5 linked regions of the Kluyveromyces lactis genome follow. The protein of the gene in region 4 interacts with the protein of the main gene of each other region in a pairwise test. Links are inferred from orthologs where the notes say so. Each region holds a gene or a part of one and is shown on either strand. Other genes may lie near its edges.

The links. The genes of interacting proteins can lie anywhere in the genome.
Region 1: the proteins of KLLA0_B05709g (region 4) and SFH1 interact in a two-hybrid assay, tested with the Saccharomyces cerevisiae proteins (2 studies listed by BioGRID). The link is inferred for Kluyveromyces lactis from reciprocal best matches to the Saccharomyces cerevisiae genes YLR345W and SFH1.
Region 2: the proteins of KLLA0_B05709g (region 4) and PRP45 interact in binary tests that used the Saccharomyces cerevisiae proteins (3 or more experiments, as listed by UniProt). The link is inferred for Kluyveromyces lactis from reciprocal best matches to the Saccharomyces cerevisiae genes YLR345W and PRP45.
Region 3: the proteins of KLLA0_B05709g (region 4) and MTR3 interact in a two-hybrid assay, tested with the Saccharomyces cerevisiae proteins (3 studies listed by BioGRID). The link is inferred for Kluyveromyces lactis from reciprocal best matches to the Saccharomyces cerevisiae genes YLR345W and MTR3.
Region 5: the proteins of KLLA0_B05709g (region 4) and KLLA0_F23078g interact in a two-hybrid assay, tested with the Saccharomyces cerevisiae proteins (2 studies listed by BioGRID, with this or other methods). The link is inferred for Kluyveromyces lactis from reciprocal best matches to the Saccharomyces cerevisiae genes YLR345W and YLR257W.

The regions. Positions count from the first base shown.
Region 1 is NC_006039.1:1,628,582-1,631,974, forward strand, and holds SFH1 (Sfh1p), read right to left. Parts: upstream 2,225-3,393; coding exon 896-2,224; downstream 1-895. Other genes in the region: TAD3 (Tad3p), read left to right, coding at 1-138; NKP2 (Nkp2p), read right to left, coding at 144-599; EFB1 (translation elongation factor 1 subunit beta), read left to right, coding at 2,947-3,026, 3,317-3,393. UniProt on the Saccharomyces cerevisiae protein: Component of the chromatin structure-remodeling complex (RSC), which is involved in transcription regulation and nucleosome positioning. RSC is responsible for the transfer of a histone octamer from a nucleosome core particle to naked DNA.
Region 2 is NC_006042.1:223,854-227,286, forward strand, and holds PRP45 (mRNA splicing protein PRP45), read right to left. Parts: upstream 2,189-3,433; coding exon 896-2,188; downstream 1-895. Other genes in the region: RNA-binding protein POP5, read left to right, coding at 176-820; protein phosphatase regulator GIP4, read right to left, coding at 2,372-3,433. UniProt on the Saccharomyces cerevisiae protein: Involved in pre-mRNA splicing. Associated with the spliceosome throughout the splicing reactions, until after the second catalytic step.
Region 3 is NC_006042.1:1,688,292-1,691,041, reverse strand, and holds MTR3 (exosome non-catalytic core subunit MTR3), read left to right. Parts: upstream 1-1,144; coding exon 1,145-1,855; downstream 1,856-2,750. Other genes in the region: CHO2 (phosphatidylethanolamine N-methyltransferase), read right to left, coding at 2,037-2,750.
Region 4 is NC_006038.1:513,538-517,851, forward strand, and holds KLLA0_B05709g (bifunctional fructose-2,6-bisphosphate 2-phosphatase/6-phosphofructo-2-kinase), read right to left. Parts: upstream 2,528-4,314; coding exon 884-2,527; downstream 1-883. Other genes in the region: CAX4 (dolichyldiphosphatase), read left to right, coding at 42-737; KLLA0_B05742g (60S ribosomal protein uL24), read right to left, coding at 3,025-3,389, 4,005-4,023. UniProt on the Saccharomyces cerevisiae protein: Synthesis and degradation of fructose 2,6-bisphosphate.
Region 5 is NC_006042.1:2,142,383-2,145,412, reverse strand, and holds KLLA0_F23078g (uncharacterized protein), read right to left. Parts: upstream 1,796-3,030; coding exon 896-1,795; downstream 1-895. Other genes in the region: AIP5 (Aip5p), read right to left, coding at 1-330.

The DNA of each region.
Region 1 (3,393 bases), on a different chromosome or scaffold from region 4:
AGCGGTGCACTGAAACCTGATTCAGGTGATGGATACTGCATGCATTCAAACAAAGATTTGAACTCCAAGTATGAAGTCTTCCAATGGGTTGGTGAAGAATTGGAAGTGCCTGGAATAGATTCTACCGTGTGTTCTTGAGCTTTTCAACTAGAAGGTTGGTTGGTTTCCATGTCCGTTATTAATTTTGCAACATTATCGTACATGGAAGTATCTATTGCTTCAATGTCACTGAGTTCCATTGCATATTTCAAAAGTTTTGTATTTTTATTATCTAGTTCAATGTTTAATTGATTTAAATGCTGCTGCAACATATCATCAATGCTATGCAATAGTTTATTTACTTCCTCGAGAGAAATGGAGTCTTCAATTTGTTCCCGTTCGAGCTCAACTCTTATCAAAGACAGCTTGTTGTCGATGAGTTTATCTATTTTTTCAATGATCCGTTGATCATTCTCTTCATAACTTTTGTATAACTGTGACGCGATCACAGTGTTGGATTCCGGTATCGTTCTAGAAAATAGATCAACAAACTGATCCTCAGTATACAAACGTGAGACTAAAATGCCGTCTAAATGCTTGTATAATACTTCGTGGAGCATAGTAATTGAAGTAATAAGGATTTCGGGTATGTACTTTTTATTATTCCCAGCGTACGCATTACTGATTCGCGATGATCTTTGATCTTTTTCTATTTGTTGTGGAGATTTTTGGCGACTAAATAAATAATAGTCTGACGAAAAGGAAGAGTATTTGTGCAAAACCACAGATGACGGTGGTATTAATACATTAATGATACATAAATCTCCACGAATAGATGGAGAACTTTATTTTCTATACAGCTTTGTCTAATGGGCGTCTGTGAAGTTAAACTGCTTGGCCGGAAAAGAGAACACACTTATATTCTCAAAGTAGTTTCCAAGTCATCCATTCTCCTCTTGCCTCTTCTTCTGGATCTTCCGTCATCGACCTTGGCACTTTCTCTCTTTAATCTTCTCATGTTTCTCTCCTTTTCAATTTCACGCTTTTCGATTTCCCATTGTGAGAGGACTTCTACCTTAGGGAACCATGAGGCGCCAAGTGTATCTATATCTAGACGGATACCTGATGTGTAACCGAAAGCTGCCTTATTTTCTACATGGGCCAAATTCAAATTACCTTCGAGCCAATCCTTCTTTACCTTTAGCAAGGATTCATGCAACGAATGTGCAATGGCAGGAACGAACTCTCTTTGCAAGCCCAGGTCCTGTACCACCAATTCTGCGAATTGTTCTGGGCATAATGAATCGTCATTAAGGTTCCATTCAAAAGTGTCATCATAAAGCTTGGAATCGAGATTTGCAGTCAAATTTATTATCACGTGTAAATCAGGAACCTGTAAAGATGCCAATGTTTCATATTCTTGTAATTGTTCGTTAATCATAGAGATAATCTGTGTATATGGGGAATTATTTGGGTTGGAAAGCACTGGGAAATCAAGATCCTGGCACAAGATCGTAGCAAACTGTTCTGGAGTCATCGAATGGTCGTTCAAATTCCACATGAAAAAATCTGCTAACTTGTGTCCACTGAATTCAACGTTTAACCGTATTGGAACCATTATCGGGCTTTCTATATCCACTTGCTGCGGATCCTGGATAGAATCTCCAAGAAGGTCTTTATAACTGATAGCGATCCTACTTTGCACGAAAGTTTCCCTAATCCTAGGATATTTCAACAAAGCTAGCGGAGTGGCAGAATCATCCTGACTTTCAAGGTCGGGCAAGTCGTTTAGTTTGATGCGATCCAATTCTGAGCTAGGATTTGACGTTCCTGCAGTACCATCGTTTGTACCGTCTGGCCCAGTATCTGCAGCCGGCGTTCCGCCAGTGACAGCACCGGGGTCACCAGACCCGGGCGTGCCCTCACCAATGCCACCATCTTCACCGAGTCCCGCCGCTGCGGCGGCGGTGGCGGCAGCAGCCGCAGCACCTCCATCACTACCGTCTACTTGATCATAGTAGTCCCCACCCCTACGACGACCATCCGAATCGTCCACATCATCCTCCAAATCATCCTCATCGTTCTTGTCGATGAATTCATCCAAGAGATCCGTATCGAACTCAGCGTAGTTCACCTGTTTACCCCTCTTGTTTCTCGATAACTGCGCAGCAGTAAACAACGGAACATCCTCGTTCTTCACTCTATTATGGAAGTTACTCAAGTAGGCTTGCGGTACGAGCGACATATCAATACAATTTTGGGAGGCAGGTCGTAGTTGCTTTGTCTGCTGTATATCAGCACGCTTCAATGAGTAAACCGTTTGTTTGTAGTAACACTATCATAGTCTTTATTCAACCAGCCCTAAAACACGAACTTGCACTTCTATTCTTGAATTGATGGATACTTTTTCATATTCGTATACAGTGATGAGTTGATTGAACAATCTAAGTGTTACCCTGAGTAAACATTTCACTTGTCAAAAGAAAAGGAATCCAGTTTGAAAAAAATGAAAAAAAGAACACTTTCTCAGAAAAATCCGTACCGTTTTGGAACCATTTACTATGGCAAAATCGTTTTTCAAAGGGGTGGACCCATGATTTTTGAAAATAAACTTGGTTTTTCTCAAATTGTCGCAGGGCACGCCGCAGCGTGCCCTGTTTTCTGCTGTTGCCTTTCCAGTATCTATCTCATCGCACTTACAAGGAAGAAAAAAAATTTTCTTCCACCGCACATTGCATGCACTTTGAATACACGTAGATGCCATAATTCCATAGTACATACGTCTTACATATCATATATCTCATAAATATATATATATATATATTGGAACTTTTCGAATTAGAGTTTTTCATCAGCTTTTCAGTATTTTTTTTTCGTCAATTTGATTCAACGTTCCTTGTAAGAAGAAGAAGAGGAATTGATTCTTTCCTAGTTTCTTCTCTCACCAGGTTTAACTATCCATTAACGATGTCTTTCTCTGATTTCTCCAAGGTCGAAACCTTGCAAAAGTTGAACACTTTCTTGGCTGACAAGTCTTACATTGAAGGGTATGTGAAATAATTATAGTGGTGGTTTTCCAATGGCATCAAGCAGTTTTTTGAATAAGAGAATTCTTCAAAGTTTACTATTTCAATGATGAACAAATTCTTTGGTCCGTGTTTATGACGGGAAGTAAGACCCCCGGTATGAGTGACAAAGAGACAGTACCTAGACAGTACGATTCTGATTTATCTTTTTTATTGAATTCTCTTTTCAGCAAGCAAGCTTAGCTGCCATACAAAAAAATTTCATTTTTTTGTTCTTTCCATTTTACTAACTAACAATTGCATCAATATAGTACCTCTGCTACTCAAGCTGACGTCTCTGCTTTCAAGGCTTTCCAATCTACTTACCCAGAATTCTCTAGATGGTTCA
Region 2 (3,433 bases), on a different chromosome or scaffold from region 4:
TACGCCTTTTGTTATATAGAGAATGAATTATCTGATATTTACACAATCTGTTAGTTAAGGTTGGTGATGCGGCAATAATGCATAAAATATTGGACATGCTTGGCGTATTCTCGTTCTTCTTCTGTGACTTGAATGCGACAAACCAAAAAAAAAAAAAAAAAAAAAAAAAAGAGAGATGCTTCACATTACAAGATTTAGAGTTATGATGGAGATCAACTGTGAAGGAATCAAGATTTTGATAAAGGACGGTTGTGCAACAACGTTTATTCGGGGGTTTCATCCTACTATTAATAAAACTTGCTGTCATAATAGGCAAAATAGAAGAAATCCAATGGTTCGTTTAAAGAGCAGATACATTCTTTTCGAAGTACTATATCCAGATGTAGATGATGAGTACGAAACAGTGCCAGATATAACCAAGAAGGACATTTTAACCACGCATCACAAAGTATCACCAAATACTATCAGTCCGAGAAATATTTTGCAGGAACTACGAAAACAATTACAGGTGAATTTCGGGGACTATGGCTTGGGAAAGGCTACGGCTTTGTTACAGATCAAATACTTTTCGAATAGAACATCAACCGGTATAATACGATGTGGCCATGATGACCATCAGTACGTAATAATGGCACTTGCTTTGATGAACCAGATTGAATCTGTTGGGCCCATCATAATGAATCCAATAAAAGTTAGCGGAACTATTAAAAAAGTTGAGTTATTTGCTATCAGAAGAAGTCACCGTTTGAACCGAATACTTCTGACAGATGATAGGAATGATGAGTTTTCTTCAATCACTGACGATGAAAATAATGACTGATTCGCTGATTTCATTCAATTAGTAGTGCTTGAATATTATTACATACAATTATATCAGTATATCGGTATCGCACAATTAAGAAGTATGAGGCTTCTTACGCACTTGAAGACCGTATTCTCTGGCATGCTCGTTATCTTCCTCATTCTGTTCCGCATTTTTGCCATCATCAGCAGCGGAGAACTCTACCGGTCCAGTTCTTCCTTTCTTATTTGAGAGTCGATCAACAATATCTTCGTTTTCTAAGTTAGAACCAGTAGTTGGCCTGTAAATGTTGTCAATCTGGCTATTATTGAACAATGGATGGTCGAAAATTTGATTTGAAGATGATGCCACAGATGATGCCGCTTTCTTGAACAAGCGGGAATCGTACTGAAGATCTGGGGTCTCGGTGGCTTTTGCAGCATTTAAAACAACTTTATCAGAAACATCTCTTCCTTGTTGGTACGCCAATCGTCTTAACTTTTCTGCTGTGCTCATTTTATTCGACCGTTCCAATTCGCGTTCTGCTCTCCTACGTTGATTACGCTCCATTTCCCTAACATAATGATCTTCATTTTCGTACTGTCGCCTATTTTCCCTATCCTGTCTAGCACGTTCAGCTAAGTGACGTAACCTTTGTTCTTTTTTTAAAGTTTCTTCCTTCTCTAACTCCTTGTACGCCTCTTGCTTAATGTTGATTCTCTGTCTTGCTTCTCTTTCTGCTTCGTCTAGTGCCTCAGATAGCAGAAGGAAATTGTCCTTCTTATCATTATCTGGGCAGTCCGTCTTTATTGATTCAATAGCAACTCTATTATCCAAAGAAATAGCAAATCCGTTAGGATTCTTCCAGTTCGAAATGGCGGATGGAATTCTCCATTTATCAAGCTCTTCCTTTGTAGGTTTAATACTAGGGTCATCCGACTTATGAAGTATAGGCGCCTGAATTTCTTCCGATGGTACAACGACCTTCCTTTTCCTGTGTGTTACCGGTTGTAAAGGATCCTTCTTATGTTCTATTACTTTAACTGAACGTTGAGTACCAGATTTTACAGAGCTTATTGCTTCTCTTTTTACGATGTCCTTGTTCGCAATAGACGATAATTGTAGAGAGCTCTTTTTCGTTAGCAGCGAGTCTAGAAACGCCTTAGTCTTTACATATGTTTGATTAATCTGTGATGTCGATGGGAACGGTGCCTCTAGTGATATATCACGTTGTCTAAGAGGTACAAAGTCAGATATTGAGGCCACTGGTAGATTCTCCGGTCGTAGCTTGTCTAATATTATTGTATCCTTTATGTTTTCCTTAGATTGTCTAGAAAATGCTGAAGACTCGGAGACTTCTGAGTTTTGCGGACTCGGTAGCAATGAGCTGAGTGTCCTGAATGACATGTCAGACCGTTCTAGTGGTGTTATAACAGGTTTGTTCCTATGTTTCAAGCCTTACCTACTTTACTTTATAAATTATGGGAATGTTCAATAGTTAAATATTTTCTCTAAATTTCAAATACATTGTTAAAAGTTGATATTATAATGGAAATAAGTTCACTGCAAATAGAAATTAAAAGATTCTTTCTATTTAAACAGTTTATCCTTGATTTTACCCACTATTTTAGTATCCGCCCCTTGACCTGATGAGTACATGCTGTCAAAACCGAACTTTTTATCAGAACCTTGGTCTCTGGAGATCAAACTTGTGCGAAATGCAAGACCCTCTTGAGTTGTTCTGAATTTTTGAAGTGAGTGCTGTGCAGGTGGAGGTGGATAATGCAACACGGCAGGCTTCTTGTACCATCCGCGTCTTTTAGGCTCAGGGTTTTCATCTTGTGACATAGGCGGAACCCCTATAAATCTCACCTTTTTCACAATACCTTCAACTTCGCTGTCGTTGTTTGAAGACGACTGATTGTCATCGGCAACAGAAACTATGATCTTAGGAGTTTCACTACCTTCTGGAGATAACACTTCCTGAGAGACGATTAGAGTATCATCGTCCAGCTTCAGATCGTGGAATTTCTCATTGATGTCATCTTCGTCTACTTCATTTAGCTTCAATATGTTCACTTTGTTCCTCTGTTTTACGGAATTCTGCCGTGACACAGTTGGAGAAGGTGATTTTGATCTTATAGAATTATTCAGCTTTGTTGGTGTTAGTCTTGGGCCTCTTTTCTCATTTAACGAGAGTAATGCTTTTGAATATGCATTCTGTACAATTCTTTGTGTATTCAGAGAACCTGATTGAAGAGAATTGGATCTCATACCATTCCGAGCAGTGGAAGTATCTTCAAGACTTGATACTGATTGCAATGATGACGATCTGTTTCTTGTTCTGACTGATCTGGTCTTTTTAGCCGATATATTAGACTTCGCATCAGTGAAAGGTATTGGTGATGATGGGGACCTTGATTCTTCTGACCGCGAAACTGAAGATGTCCGGCTCAGTCTTAAAGGCGATAAAATATTTGGAGAAACGTTTAATGAGGAAGAATTTGAAGTTATGGAAGATGAAGATGATGTGTTTTTTTGTGAAAGACTGGAATTCTTTTTTTCCTCCCTTTGTCTTTCTTGTTCCTTTATTTTTTCGTTGTATGCTAGTTCATCTACAGCTAACTTTTCCTCCGCCATCTTTGCCATCTC
Region 3 (2,750 bases), on a different chromosome or scaffold from region 4:
AACGGCTTTCTGCCTTGATGTTCTTGTTTTTACGATTCAATCTCTCTTAGATTGTTAGTTTTTGTTCAAGAAAAAAGATTGTAGGTTAACTGTCATTCATGATATTCTGTCCTACTGCAACTTGTTTGAATCAATGGACATTCCAAGTTATATGGTTAGACTTTGAGCAATATTCGCAGAGTAGTTTGATTTTAATCAGAGTCCTGGGCTATTGGTGGGGTGTAATATCAAAAATCTTTATAATTTCTGCCAGATGCCTGGAAGAAACGTTACACTAACAGAGTCGGTTTAATTCAAAAATGTACTTTGGTCATCCTTTTCTTCGGTGGTTCAACCAATGAACGAATGACTTGCCTTGATTCTTGAAACCTATGCATGAAAGAGCTTCTGGTGAGAGCATTAGCGAGGGTTCGGCTTTCGATCTGGTCCAAGTGAATAGCTTCTGACTTTGTCTTGATGATACACCCAGAAACGATACTGGCTTTTGTATGTACGACTGGCAAGGCGGGTTAGAGTGGGGTGTTTTAGTTGCCAAATCCCAGGTTGTGAGGGGGGGGTCTCCGTCTGCCCCTCCACCGGTTTGCGAAAACGGTCACCTGGCATGAACCGGAAACAAGTGCTGTTTGGAAACATATGAGAAACATATGAGAAACACCAGTTAGTCACGTGGTTATATAACTTCACAAAGCAGTTCTCTCCGTTTCCTTCTGACGTATGAGGTGATGAGCCGAAAGCTAGTACACGACTCTTTTTCAGAAATACGGATCTATTACTATTTACTGGTTTGACAATACCGGGCGACAGCCACTTCTTCTGTTTAGAAATCATTTCACACGTACTGATCGTCGGTTGATTTGTAAAAAAGTTCCAATGCTGCCTGCCGATAATTTGGAAACAAGTACGGTACGGAAACAAACGGGAAACAAATAGGAAACACATATATATTATCACGTGATGACGTTAGAATTTTTCCATCTCGACTATTTCAATCGTGGTATTCTGTTAGTGACCGTTTTGCAAGTGAATATACATGCGATGAGATGCTTCCAAGTTGACGTTGGCTAGTGCCATATCAGCATATATTTACTTGAGTTTGTTTCCCATCGTTATATTAAACTAATACCCACAGAAGAGAGGTCTATTAATGAGTGTGCAAGATAGAAGAAGAATATTAGGGCCAGCAGAAGCGAAGCCATTGCAGTTTGCTGCAATTACTCCTGTAAGAACCGTAGAGAACAGGGACGATGGTAATGGTAATAAATCGGGTAAGGAATCTGTGTTCATTAGTACGGATTTAGTAACGAATGCAAATGGTTCCTCATACCTAGAATATATGGATGGTACTTCGGATCAAGTTCTCGTAATGAGTTCTGTCTTCGGACCCAGGCCATTGCGAGGCTCCTTCCAATCTAAGGCATCAGTATCGATTCAGTTCAAAGAAGTTACGTTAGAACATTTGAATACCGGAGAAATTAAAGAAATTTGTACTTTCCTAACAAATGTCTTTAATGCGGTGATAAACGTTGAGAAGTATCCAAAATCTGGTATTGATATCTTTATAGATTTGATCCAGCATTCTAATAGTAATCCAACAGAGGAGGCAAATATCGTTAATATTCTACCCACATGCATTAATTCTATTACCATGGCTCTTGTAGACGCAGGTATTGAAATCATTGATTTAGTGAGTGCCGGGTCAAAAGATAACTCTGTGGTTGCGTTTATTAGGAATGGACATGAAATCGTCGGTATTTGGAGCGATGACGATAACGTCACTGACATATCAAAATTAATAGAAGAGTGCAAGGCAAAATATTTGGTAAATAAGCAGACTTTGGTTCAATATCTTAAATGAAATGAAATGGTTAACGTAATTTCATAGTGATTCATAATTAATGTGACACGAACGCTTCTTCTGTATTAGCAAAATAAAAATATACAAGGCTTTACCATTAAGGGTGAGGATTCGTTAGAAACATATCCTATTTATACATGGGTTGATACTTTAGATATAGTTAAGTACAATAGAATGCGATTTATTCCAAGTTATCTAACACTTGCTTGATTTGCCATACTTTTTTGGTGATAATATCGATATCAAAATTGGTACGTTTCATGTAAACAACGGAAACATCGGTGTCCATAGTAGACTTATACCAGTTTTGTAATGTTTTCCCAGTGAAATATTTGTTCCTATTCAAATCAAATTTATTATCATTGATTAGAACACCACATTGTTTCAAGAACTGCTTCGTGGTAGCAATTAATTGGTCCACGTCTTTTACAGTTTCTTTAAATTGAGGGAATAATAACTTGAAAGGTTTCGAGATCATAACAACATCGTGACTGTTAGCACTGTGGTATCTAAATTCATAAATACCTTCTTCAAAGCAAAGGATACTCTTATCGAATTTTATAGATCCATAAGTGAAATGGTCATTTGAATCGAAATGCAAAATCTTCTGATGATCTTCAGAATATGAAGAGCTCGAAGATACCGCCGACCAATGTCCTTGAGATGGTATCTTTGTAGTTAATCTATCTTCACCAGTTTCAACGACTTTGTAAAGTCCAATCCAGTCATCTTTGTGGAAAGCTTCATTGGTAACGGCCCATTTGATTTCGATTTCTTCTGGAATCCGAATCGTATTTTCGTCATTGATGTTGACGATATCCAAGTTAAAGTGGCCGGTGCCTTGCAAATTTTTCACCGTTTGCTCTCTAATCAAAAGCATATTGATAATCGATTC
Region 4 (4,314 bases):
TTAGGAAACATCGACGATTACGGTCATAACTAGCGGCAATCATGTCGAATTTGACCGCTATTCATTCAAAGATCCCGTTTGATGATACTTATATTTTATATGACCCGAATGATCTATTTTCGTTCATCTGTTGTTATCTTTCACTTCTGCCTGTTGGCATATTAGTGTTTTACTTCTCCTGGTTCATTATTACTCGTGAGATCGAAGCTGTTATATTAGCGGGAGGGCATGTAGTGAATGACATTGCCAATAACATCATCAAAAACATCATCAAGGAAACGAGGCCAATTGATTTTGGTTCTTTTCAAAAGGATTCTGTGAGATCAGGTTATGGTATGCCAAGTGCTCATTCCCAGTTTATGGGATTCTTCACCATGTATATAGGCCTCCGTATCTGGTGCCAATGGGGTGGCTTGAATAAATCACATAAAATTCTAGCAAGTTTTGGTTTGTTACTTGCCTCTAGCGGTGTAGTAGTATCACGCGTCTATTTAGGCTATCACACTCTGAAACAAGTTTTAGTGGGTGTTTCAATTGGCGCTTTATTAGGAACATGCCACTTCTTAGCCTCTACCATAGTCAGATACATTGGGCTAGTAGACTGGTTCTTATCTTGGAGGATTGTACAATGGTTTTTGATCAAGGATTCATGCTTCCAGGCTCCTTTTAGTTTGAAAGATGAGTACAACGCCTATTTACAGAGAAGACAACTAAGCATCAAAGCGAAAAGCGATTGACAAATTGGAAGGAAACCACAGATAGAATGTTAACAATTAACACCAGTTTATTTGCTTTACTAGGAGTCACAAGTATTCCGCTATGATCTTGCATTATTTTAATATAATTGATATACCTATTTATATGAACATAATATAAACCTTAATTAATCCATCACAATTGGAATCCTGTTCACTTTATTTTCGAATGGTCCGAATGAGATTTCAATCAATTCATCACGGGTGAACGTTAGTCTTGGTATCTCAGAACAGGAAAAAGCCATCAAATAACCGTATAACACCCTTAAAGTAGATTCATGACCAATGATAAGAATATCACCGCACATTCTTTCCATCTCAAGTAGAAGTGGCTCCATTCTCACAGCAAGATCATGATATGATTCAGCTCTTGAAAATCTGAAATGGTATGGATCCCTTAAGTATTCTTCATATTCGCTTGGGAACTTTTCTCTGATTTCTTCATCAGTCATGTCAGCAACAACACCTGGATGTAGTTGTTGCAATTGATTTCTCTGCCTTACAGTAATGCCCAGATCAGCAAAGTATTTTGCCGTATCGTACGTTCTCTTCCTTGGTGCCGTCCACACCACGAAGGAGTCGTCATCAACACCATCCCCACTAGCAGGTTGCCTATACATAGCGTTACCAGTTGATTCAGTCCGTTTCAATGATGCACTCGTAGCAATCAACGGTGATTTTGATCTTTCATTTAGGGAGACCAGAGACGGTGTCCTTGGAACGTCTGCTCCGTCATCATTAGCGTTAAGTCTTCTTCTGTTGACCAAGTCCAATACAAGGTCTGTCAATATTCTGGAATATTCCAAGCCTTCTCCGTTTAACTCTTCATCGTCGATGTACTTATCTTTAACACTTGTTCCACAACGAGCGAAATAGACACAGCCTCTCTTATCACGAAGGTTCATTAAGAAGAAGACAATCTTGTTAATCAAATAGCCATAGTTATTATTGTTCACGGTCAACTTCTCACCGAAGTTGATATACTTAACGTAGCTCAACTTTTCTTCTGGGCTCATTTCTTGATACAAATATTTATTGGCTTGGAGTCTTTCCATATAATCTTCTTCAGCCCTCTTAAGGACCCACCCTTTATAGTCTTCGGATTTTATAGCCAAATCGACGTTCCTCTTTTGTAAGACTGGGTCTGTCACCACTGATTCGATAAATAGAACTTTGATGTGTAACTTACCAAAAGCTTGTTCTATAGATGACCTATCATCTTTCAAAATATTCAGAGCATCATAAACAGCCAACTGGCCCTTCTTCTCGTCGAAAAATTCAGTCATATCTTGAATCATCTTACTTAATATCTCTTTCCTGTACTGAATTCCTTCCTTGGAGGTCGGTTTTGCGGAGAAGTAATCATCGGGTACCTCCCCCTTTTCAGCTCTAATCTTCTCTCTTCTATACTCCGAGACATGGAAAGACCTTGTACGAACCCCTAACCATCTAGTATATCTAGTAATAGCAACCGACAACAACGTTTTGGAGGTAGCTGGGAGGCCTACTAACACAATAAGTATCTTACCGGCATGGAACAAACGTCCTGATTCTGTCGAATATAATTGGCCCGGGGAAATATAATCCTTAGCAACATCAGTATGAACCCCATCGATGAGTTTATTAATAACCTTAGGCCTTTTTTCTGTAGAGCCACTAGACCATCTTTTCCTGGTCCTTGCCATGTGGTTTCCAGGAACCGGCTTTGTGATTACTACCTCGGACCCTAATCCATTTATCAATTCATCGTCATCAGATACAATCGCTGACATTGTTTATTAATGCAATCTTTACTTTGAGAAACAGTTTCAAACTTGGTACAAAAATGACTTTGCAATATACCAGCAGTTGCCCTTATAGATCAATGTAATCACCAGCTACCAGCTTTATTCACTACGTCTGGTGTCCGGTTTCTCCAGGTTCTTTACCTGATATGTTTACTCAAAACTAATAGCTATACTGACTGACTCCGCTGAAATTTTCGATTTCCTAAAAATCATGTTTCTATGGACTTATCAAAGGGTAGACTTAGTGAAAGAATGGGAAAAAGCGGAGGAAGAAGAAGAAGAAGAAGAAGAAGAAGAAGAAGAAGAAGAAGAAGAAGAGCGAGTGGGTTTAATCAATGAATGATTGTCCAATTGGTCGATATATACGGAAAATACCCGTTTTGTGTATTTAATTTCAAAAATGTGAGGATTACACTTATATAAGACTAGTGAACATGATTATAGAAGATAATATTTGATATATGAAAATCTTAACAACCAGTTTATTCCAATTTACCACCCTTTCTTTGGATCAAGGCCTTTCTGTCCTTGTCCAAGTGCAACTTGGTGATGACGACCTTGGATGGGTGGATGTTGGTTGGGACGGAAGCACCGTTAGACTTTTCCTTGGTCAACTTGTCAACTTGGACAGCGAACTTCAATCTGTAGACAGAGGAAACCTTACCTTCTTGACCCTTCTTGGAACCACGAACAACCAAGACTTCGTCTTCCTTTCTGATTGGCAAAGCCTTGATGTTGTATTGTTCTCTCAATTCTTTGGACAAAGGAGCGGACAACAACACACGACGTTCAGAGGATGGGGCAGTGAAGTAAGCCTTTCTGGCCTTTCTTCTGTCAGAGGAAACGTCTGTGAAGAAAAACGTGAAACGTACTTGTACGACGGAATATCATCATACAATCGTTATAAGAGAAATGTTAGTAAAAAAATAGAACACTTTTTAAAGGAAATGGGTTAATAGGAAAAAGTGTGCCCTTGAGTGTTATTTTCCAGTTTGAATGTTGAAATCTGTACGACTTGTTGGTGAGCCCACAGGACGTGTTCTCTAAAGCTCAAACCCCTGGAGTACTATATTCATTTTCCGAATTCCCTCATATAAACATCCCTCCAATACCCATCAATAGTCACATGGAGTCATCAACATTTCGTTCCGTTTAATTCCGCTGCTTAGGATCTTGCGTATTTATCATTCCTTGTTCTGTACTTCTCGATAATCCTTTCTAGAGTCAACTTAGACATCACAACAAAATTAAGTGTACCAAAGAAACATCTAAATTTCTAGCGATAAAAATTATATCCCGTTGCCGTGAAATAGTATTATTGTTCATATACGTTCATAGTTCTTGTTGCTTTACTATAGCTTAATCAAATCCACTTTTAAATCGTCATAAAGAAATATTGTAATAACATCACACTTTGTTTCCAATTTCCACCCTTTATTTTATCAGACCTTGTGCCACATACCTAGAGATTGCTTAGCCATTGTATTCGATCTGGTTTCTTGTGCCTTGCTACTATGCTCCAATCACTAATAACACCTCATTATACAGCTATATAATTCAATATACATTTGTTATTTCAACAATATCAAATGATGATAGCTTCCGAGAAACTGGTGAAACTGGTGAACCTCGATGAGCCAGGGTGAAGCCAGGCGAGCGGAGAGGATGCCATAGGGCGTAAACAAGTTTCAGGCTGGAAGGGACTATGCAGTGCCGCAGAACTGAGGCCAAAGGGCACTGTCGTGGATAGGAAGGAGGCCAGGCTCGCGAAT
Region 5 (3,030 bases), on a different chromosome or scaffold from region 4:
TATTTCTGAATTTTCAGAGTGATCGATTGATTCCTCGGCAAATTCGGTCTCATTAGATAATGTGTCGTCAGCGTAGCCCTTTTCGGTGTTCTTCGGCTGTTCTTCTTCCACTTGGTCGGGTTTTTCCAGGGAACCCTTCTGAGGAGTTTGCTCTTCATTAATATCCTTGAGTGCTCTGCTTTCTGGCAACGCCTCAATGGTGGAGGCTTTAGAATGTGCATTTTCTTCTGTGGACAATGTTTGTAGACCCAATTCCTGTGGACCCTTGTATTCAATCGATGTTTCAGAGTCCGGACTTATTTTGGTTATAGGAATTTCGTCTTCATCCATGGCATGTTCAGGGGCCTCAGTGATAATTCTCAATTTCTTTTGGTCGTCCTCCTGCTCCAAATTTTCTACAAAATTTTTGGATGCAGCTGTGTCAATGATATCATTGGTACCGATACCTTTTCCAGCTTCATCATTTGATGCCACGGACTCCAATTCTTGATTCTGTTTCGCCTCGCGTATAGATTCATCATTGATTATGGCTGCACGTGACTCATACTCACCTATTTGGCTAGACGTTGAAGTTTCAATAGCTCCCTTCAGATTTATTTCAGATGTATGTTCGTCTTTGATATCTCTCTCCTCATCTGATAATTCTTGGAGTTCTTTAATATCAGAAGAATCGGTTTGGATTTTAGAGAAAAATTGATCACGTGTTTTGACTGGAACGCTGTTAGTCTCTGTGATATCAGGAATTTGGCTGGTGGGTTCAATGTTCGTTTCGCAAAGCTCTTGCTCCGTTTCAGGTTGGGATTCTGTGAGTCCTTGTTCTTGTTCATCTGGTTCTTCTAGTTGATTTTCTTGGGTGATGTTTTCTCTAACATGATTAGTAGACTCACTTGAAGCCTTAGTTTCTATGGGGGGCTGCAGGATGCCTCGCCGTATGCTCCTCGTGAGATTCACGAATCACATGAGGTGCATTTTCCACATAGCGTTGGGAAATAGAATAGCTTGTGGTCGAATAAATATCTTGGGCTTGCACGCCCGTGTCATCTGAAACACTTTTGTGATCAGCATGATCTCTTTGTAATGAACGAGATAATGAACGCAAGTAGTCGTTTTGGAATCTTTTAGAGGTTGATCTTCCGCTTCTACCATTGGAAGCAGAATTTTCGAGATCATCTACTGATTGTTGGTATGAATCACCACGAGCTAAGTGTGGCCTTTCAGAGTTATCATTAATGATCTCACCATACGAGTTCCTTATCACTGAATGGCTGGAGTCTGACGTAACACTAGCTCGTTTCTCGGTTTTGTTTGTCGATCTGGCCCTTGACTTACCTCCGTCAGTTAAATCGCCAGCGGTAGGAGCAACAATGTTATCGTCAATTGGGTCAGTGCTGGTCACAAGGGAATCTACGGTACCTGAATGCACTGGCGAAATTGAGTAACTGAAATCTTGCGATAAGGAGCCACTCGAAGAAGACTTCTTTGTCTTTTTTTTGTTCTTAATCTTTTTCTTATTCTCCAAAGATGATTTCAATTCACTAATGTCATCCAATCCTTTGGCAATTATGTCATCTAAATCTACATCCTGATCATCGGTCAAAAGTGCGCCTTCCTTATTCAATTCTGCAACAGAAGTGTATTGGTCACTATCGTCAGGAGAAGAGTTTTTCAAATTCAATCTCCTCACAGATTCATTCAGTTGGCTGAAATCAGGCATTTTTTCTGGAACGAAGTCCGGATTCTCACTATCATCAATATCACGGACAGAATGACCCACTAAACTCGGTTGTTCGCTCATAATCCCTGATTTAAAAGGATGGTCTAATATTTGCGAGATAATTCGTTAAAAAAACGGAAATGACTGCAGAGATTTACTGATCTCAGAAGATATATTCCAGATCAATTGTACTTTATCAACGACACCAATGAAGAATTTACAATATAGTGAAGACGTATATATATATAGCCAGTATGACTTATTGGAACAAAAGTCCCACTTTCTTGAAATATGAGGCAATCGATGAAAACCTACTAAATTTTACCCTAATAGAGTTTTCCGGGTAATATGCCTATTTAATCTTCAGTCCCGTTTAAGATTGCTAGTAGCCACCGGACAGAGAGCATTTAAGTTCTATCAGGAGATCATAACAGGGAAGAAAGGATAAAGGATTTATAGGATTATAGTCGGTTATCATACACCACATGTGTATATGTGCGCGTCGGAGATCAGATAATGTTTCTTGATATGCTCACATACAAACAAGCTTGTTTATTCTTTTGCTTAGATAAGATATGGATTTTTGGTTCAGAAAAGGCCCCGTTCAAAACACTTTTGTATACAGTCCATTATCTACAAGTATCGCACCGGAAATTCCTTTGTTTACAATATAGTATGTTTAATTTTAGATAAACGATGTAGAAAGAGTGAGATTGGAATAAATTGCATTTGTGGAAATATGTGTAACGTAGCAGTGCCGGAATGCTTAAAGTGCTCCTAGCGCGGCTCAACTTGCTTTGAATGGTTTACGACAATTTACAAGTTATCAAGAGAAAGGGGGGATAAAAAGAATGCATCGGCCGGGAATCGAACCCGGGGCCCAACGATGGCAACGTTGGATTTTACCACTAAACCACCGATGCTTAGTAGTTTTTGATGTGTTAATGTAAATTTCATCAACCTTAATGAGCTAATAAATATCACATGAAGCAAAGTTTAATTGAACTAGATATAGTTGAAGCTGAAATTGTTACACTATAAACACAAAATAGTCAAAAGTGAAGGTTATTGAGAGGGGATTATTAGGATGTTGTTCTAGTCAAACATTGTTCCACATAGCGTTTTGACAAGATTACGGCATTCTTACGTTCATGCGGTTCCTACATCTGAGAAAGAATTATTCCGTACATGTTCTGGATGACTTCTCTGGTTAAAGTCAGATTTTGAACAGAAATTTTTTTGGCTCTATCGGCCGTTCCTGCAAAAGCGAATTCCAGTATACGCACGATCTAAGTAGTTGTGCCGATGTTCGAAGT